Drosophila melanogaster: one gene and its partner. The protein of the gene in region 1 interacts with the protein of each later gene in a pairwise test. Each region holds a gene or a part of one and is shown on either strand. Other genes may lie near its edges.

Region 1 (3,758 bases):
CGAGTTCCAGACACGTTTTCGACAGCACCAGCAGTAGATTGGGTGGACTGGAGCTGGAGGCATCTCCGAAACCACACATCACCTTGGCAATATGACGTAGGAAGCCAATGAGTAGGTTCTCCCGAATGCCCTCTACGCACAGGGCGCCCTTGTGTTCCGCCTTGATGTTAAACGACCAGTCGGTGCGCAGGAATATAAGCAAGTCCTGCAGTACACCCTTTATTTTCTCCACCATGGACACATAAAGGTTGCTTATCAGATCACCGAGATTGAGACCAGCAGCTGCATCGCTCTTGGCAGAAACCAGCGACAGACGAACCGCACTCAAACTGTCGGCAAAGTGATCTTTGAGGTTTTTGGCATGGGCATCGCATAGTTGGTGGGCAGCCGAAATAATGATAGATACTGTGTTGCGTTGGACCTCCAAGCCGCGGCAGATATTTCGCATGGCCTGAAGGCGCCGATGAAGTCGATCCAGAGCGCGTAGCATTACCTGGGTATCGCCGTAGCCAATGTCGGACTCAACACGATCCTGGACGAGTGTCAGATACTTTTCGATGTTCTGATTGAGGAAGACATTTAGCTCCTGCAGGGCGTTCTCCTGAAAGTCATCGCTGAAAATGGAATGGATAATAAAACTCAATTAAGATTATACAAAATATTGTTCAATTTACCGCTCATGCTCGTAGTGCTTGGCCACAAACATGTCAAAGTAGGAAGTCACTACCAGTGCCAGATCGTTGAGGAAACCATCGATGCCCATGTCCACAAACTCCAGCATATCACGCTCTGTTTGATCCTGCAGCATGACGATTTGCTCGTGCAGTCGTTTGCCAGCGCAAGTCAGCATTTCGCTTGCCAGATCCGAAGTCTTTTCGTCCAGCTGCAGGAGTAGCTCTCCAATTTCCGTCAAGGATTGGGCCGTGTTCCCAGCCCTTTGAAAGTCACTTCGCAATTGCTCCTTGAGATCTGCCATGATGGCGTCGCAATCTCGCTGGATTCCATCGAAGGACGGCTGTCGACCGTACTGGGCGAACACCTTCTGGGCATGCAGGTAGTCCTGGACAGCTTGTGCGTAGTTCTGTTCCTCGATGAGGGACTTCAGTTTAGCTGGCAGAGTTGAGAGAAACTGCAGCCTTTTGAGGAGCGAGTGTTTCTCGGACAGGCGACATAGTTGCGATCTGGTGCCCTGCAGCGTTCCGGTTATTTGCTCACTAAAAGTCGTTATGGATTGCATCTTGGTCATCAGTAGGTTCACATCCGTTTCCATCTGCTTGAAGTCATCTTTCATCCGGCGAATTGTATCCGTGGCGGAGATGAATTTGTTGTAATTCTCGTAGACCAGCGTCTGCATATCAGAGTGCAATGTCTGTGTGTCCTTGACCACCGCCGCCTCCGTATCCATTATTTGCTTTAAGGAGCAATCCTTTATTTGTGAGTAACAGCCAGAACAAAAAGTGCATAAGTTAATGATTATTACTTCACTATTTTGTTGTTCTTACCTTGAGCAACCTTTCCAGATACTTTTCCGCATCGAAGCTGGAGCTGTCCATGTCGAAGGGATTGGCTTTGGTTTCAGCCATTTTGTAGAACTTTTTTTTACCACTAGTCTAAATAAATAAATAAACTAAATGTTGTGAACTTGTTGTTGCTGAAGATTTATCGTTTTTTTCGTATATCGATAAGTTAAGGTGTGTTGGGCAACGAAAAATGTTTCCCTCATTTAACAGCTGACTACCAATATTGTTATCGATATCCAATACCGCCACACAATCATTTTTTGAACGGTGCGCGTTTAGCAACTTTTTATTTTAAATTAAATAGAAATATTATTATATTATTATTATATTATTAAGTGAATAATAATTTAGACAGTTAAATGTTAATGCAGAATAGTACTGCTATGGCATTATATTGAAAGAATTTTAATTTTTAATATTTTTCTGAGTATTTATAAAGTTAGTGTCTTTATTAAATATATTATTTTATTATCTTTTTTATTGTTTTTTCTTTTTGTTTTTATTTTTAGGCACATAGGTGTGTGATGAATTGGTATTAAATCGTGAGAGACGTGAACTGAGATTATCTTAGTTTGCAAAGCTCTCTGTCATTTTTATTCTAATCGCGGCTTTGTTATTGGGAATCTCCCATTTCAAACTGATAAGAAAATACTTGTTTGTTTTTCATAAATGGCATTAATGTAAAAGGTTTTATTAAAGCAATCACAACATGAAGCTATTACTCTTTGTTTCCGCATTAATTGCAGCTCTGTGCAGCTCATTTGTGACTGCTGGTTAGTAACAACAAAATGTTAGTTAACTAATGTACCTAATTACTTAAACATTTTGTAGATTGCTTAACGGACCCCGTGACAATGCTGTGCATTTTGGACCCAAATCATGGCAAATAACTTTGTATATCACCTGGCTCAATAAAGCACAAAAGTAGAACACGATGTGGGCTTCTGTATCCTAAGTAATTCAACAGTCTCCCCAGACTGAGTTACGTGTGGCAAATCGCATTAAACATTCCACGCCCACCGCCTCCACACTACCAGACATCTTTTTTGTTAAGGTCTTATACCCTGTCGTTGGGTATTTCGAAACTGCGATTAACTATGTAACGCTTATTGAAAGATATATTCTTCTGAATTCTGAATTGCCCTATGTTACAGTTTTAATATCTTTTAAACATCATTAAATCATTTTTTGTAATGGGTATTTTCAGTGTCGTGGCATAAATATGTAGCAGTTGTTTGTACTTCTTGGTGCGTCCTTTTTTATTTCGGTGGGAGTTCGTCTGCCCGCTGGCGACCGTGTCAAGTTGAATGAACATGGACAAGTTTTTGCCACATTCCGAGGGCCTAAAGTTCCCTGTGCTGCTGTATCTCGCATCTGAGTCTCGCTTTTCGGCTGCTGGCCCTGCAGCATTCCCCGTAATTTTCCCACCATTCGCACTATATTTTATCCTGGGCTCCTTTCGCTCTCGTTCCTTTGTGGCGTCTCATTTCAAATACATTAACATTTTGACCTTTCGCAAAAAAGTTCGAGCTGTTGCCGGGGCCGAATTTAATTTCGAGTTGTGTGCAGATTGTGCAAATCACACGCTCTCCAATGCCATCAGCCTCCAAACTTGTATCATGTGCACTGAGAAAAATGTATAGCAATGAGGAGTTTGATGAGGATCCTAATTCGCAACACACTATGCTATTATATGTTTGTAATGAATAACCATTATTCATATTCCAAATCATTTCTATGATTGAAAACTAAAACTTTTAATTGCAATGGTCTTCTTAAAGGTTAGACAAACAAAAAAAGAAAAGACCGACAGTGGGACAGTGTGTCACACACTCGCGCTTGTGTGTGGCATGAACTTTGCTTTCATCAAACTGAAAATTGAATTTACGTAAGCCGAGCGAAATATAACAAAAAAAAAAAGTGAAAAGCTGAAGGACGTGAGGGCGGCGGAAAGCGTCGAACGTGTCAAGGTCAAGTTGCCATTGTCCCAGGTTTTCCACACCTCACTTTCTCCCCCACCCCACTCCTGCTCCCCTTCTCACTTCTGCGTGCGGCACAGAGAAAGCTGTGCACACCACCCACGTTCGGCCCACTAATATGTTTTGTGCAGTTTGAAGTGCGCCAAGTCGTTAAATTAATTTCAGTGCACTCAAAAGCAGGAGCAGCGGAAACTGGAGCACACAGCCAGTGCTCATTTTAAACGGATTATATGTACGGCATTGGAGTGGGCCGTGGGTG
Region 2 (2,898 bases), on another chromosome or scaffold:
ACAGGATGCGAGCCACGCTTCGAGTTTGCGCTTCATTGGAAAATGGACCTGTGGCTTGGTCTAAAATCGATATCGCTTTCCGTATACTCTTCTTATCTCCCGCGTACTGATAAGCACACGCCCACCACGACCCCAGCCACTCATGAAAAATACACATATACACTTTTAAATATAGATACTTAGATACATTTTCATGAGTGCTTCCAGTGAAAATTCGACGCATTGTTACGTCAGCCATACATTTTTCCCCAGCTGTAGACACAATTTCTTTGTTTAATTACCTTTTTCGGGGTTCGAACTGGCTGCCACAAAAGTATCTTCGGCTATAGTTTTGTAGACCTCCGTGGAATCGGGTGGGTATTCAGCAGCTGCGTTGATTGTACTATCACATACGCCTAAAATAGACCGCAGCAAGAATTAGCGAAATGAACGCGGTGAAGAATTCCTTACAAATGCCTCGTTTGTGTGGTATGTAAAATATTTTATAGATTGAATACGGGCTTACCAGGAATTAATCTACCCATCGGTCATACCTTATTCCATATTTTTATAAAATACCTCGGCGATTTTCAGTGCCTACTTACGCTGTCTTACAGATGCTCGTTGCTACAAAACTGATTGGCGGGAAATTTGAACTGTTAGCTTAGAAAAACTCACCAGGAGCTGGTAGCGTAACGGAGCTCTGCAATATTTTTAATCACTTAAAATGCTGAGATATTTGAATTTAATGTACTTACTTTGCTGGCCCCACCTCCCAAACGTATCAAGCGCGAGAATAGGTTCATGGCAGTGGTGATTTCCTGAGATAGTGAAGAATTTAATTTATATTAATGAAAATTACTGTGCTTCAAACAGACTAGCCCAAAACCAATTTTTACTTAAGTATTGTATTGAAGATATGTATTTCTGATGAAGTAAGCTCTTAAAGAAATATTGTAATTTTATACCAATTCATTTGTAGTTACAGCTCACAATTATATAATGATAATTGGGATCGAATAAATATAAAACATTGTAACAAGGTATGTATTGGCACACACTAAAAAATATTATATGTACACATACCCTTAGCTTTTTTGAAAGACTGTTAATAAAACTATAAACAATAAATGAGATATTTGGCACTGGCTTGTATTTTGCACTGTGACCTGCCCAATAAGAGGTCTGATTCGCAACTAAAGTTGCAGTTTCGCTCTGGCAGTGCATCGCCCCCAGAGGCGCAGCCCCAATCCGAACCGCTCCTCGAGTTTGATTTAATTATACCTGTGAAAGAAACGCGTTCCGTGTGCGTAAGTACGATTTATGGCTCGCGGCGATTGAGATTGAGCCGGGCCCAAAAAAACTACCTGTCTGCGTGGCAGCTTACCTGAGCTCTCTCGCTTGACCAAAAGCCAAGTTGGTGGACCGGGTTTTGTGGCCAGCCACCAGCGCAGAGCAAACTGCACTCGTCGGCGCATTCCAGGCCCAAATATGCTGAGTTGCCGGGTGTTTGGAGAGTCAGAGTCTGCCGACTCCACAAGGTTGCCGAATAGAACTCAAATTGGTTTAGCTGGGCCACACCAAAATTGACCAATTGCTGCATTACCCTGCATATTATCTTTTTCCGATTAAGAGACATGCAAGTGTCATTAGCCTATTAACTGGGAGCTATATATATGGCAGGCCGGTGCGTAAGCCCCAACCAAGTTGACAAAATGGGTTTTCACATGGGACGACAGCTGCTACTCTCCGGATTCCTGCTGGTGATGCTTCAGATGGTGACCCAAACGCAGGCCAGGCCGCAGGTGATTGACGAGTATAATCAGTTCGAACATGCATAACTCAATCCGCCATCAGGATGTGATCACAGTTGCTGGCGAGGAGACAGAGGTGGTGATCAAGCGGGAGGGCGATGACGATGGAGACGACGATGACTCCTCCTCCGAGGAAACAGTCGAGGATTCCGAGGAAAGCAGACGCAGACGACGCGAGGTGAATACGGACAACACGCCATCGGCTCGAGCGGTTATTCCAGGTTTGCCAGATCCGGCCACCATAATCAAGATCGCTGAGCTTTTTCAATCCGTAGGCGAGCAAGTAGTCCCCATTCTCTTGGAGGCCATTCTTCCCAGCGTGGATGCAGCGGGCGATCGCTTCGCAAGATCTGTGCAATTTCTGAAAAACTTGACCCCTGGCTCTGAATTGTTTGCCGTCGAGAAGAACGAATAGCCGAGCCAAATTTAATGTGACTACCATTGAAGGAACTGGACCGGAATTGATTTGACTTTTGTATCTGCATAGTGAATCTTAAACAAGTGAATAATATTTGGATGTAGTTTGGTTTCTTGAGTTTCTTAAAAGAATCATTGTTTAAATATCGTTGTAGTAATATTTACATTATATTAAGACATGGTATAACATATTGTCTTATAAGAGGTATTAGTGCTACCCCTAATTATTTTATTTTGGTTACATCAATATATAAGCTCTCAGATTGTTGTTTAACCTTTTGATTCAACTATTTCGTTTTCCGCACTGGTTAAAATATAATAGCTATTGAATCCAGGCCTCTCCCTGCAATTTCTTTCCAAATTTCCAAATAATATGTCAATGACGCTATCGATTGCATCCGACATGCTTCCGCCACAGAGAAGGATTTCCGTGAAAACTTTGTGGATAAGTGGGTGAATGGGCTTGTCGAGGCACACTTCATTGAGCCTGTCTAAAATTCCACTGATCATGCCATGGATCACTTTACCAACCAAGTTTTTCTCTTTGAAAATATCCATGCAGTGTTTATAAAAGTTTTCCGTATAGTCTCCTAATGTAAGTTGTGTTGTTTGATTGGTTCTAGCCCGTATGACATTCTGCTTTGGTTTCACAAAGCTTCTATAATGACTCTTGAGAGCTGTCCTGTGA

The links. Proteins that work in one complex are often made in the same cells at the same time.
Region 2: the proteins of Vps51 (region 1) and Os-C interact in a two-hybrid assay, tested with the Drosophila melanogaster proteins (one large-scale study listed by BioGRID).

Annotation. Positions count from the first base shown.
Region 1 is NT_033778.4:18,709,193-18,712,950, forward strand, and holds the start of Vps51 (vacuolar protein sorting 51), read right to left. Parts: upstream 1,674-3,758; 5' UTR 1,584-1,673; coding exon 1,503-1,583; intron 1,427-1,502; coding exon 675-1,426; intron 615-674; coding exon 1-614. UniProt on the Drosophila melanogaster protein: May act as a component of the GARP complex that is involved in retrograde transport from early and late endosomes to the trans-Golgi network (TGN).
Region 2 is NT_033777.3:7,977,281-7,980,178, forward strand, and holds Os-C (Os-C), read left to right. Parts: upstream 1-1,678; 5' UTR 1,679-1,694; coding exon 1,695-1,784; intron 1,785-1,836; coding exon 1,837-2,208; 3' UTR 2,209-2,334; downstream 2,335-2,898. Other genes in the region: CD98hc (CD98 heavy chain), read right to left, coding at 282-395, 658-682, 738-785; Sfp84E (seminal fluid protein 84E), read right to left, coding at 2,481-2,898.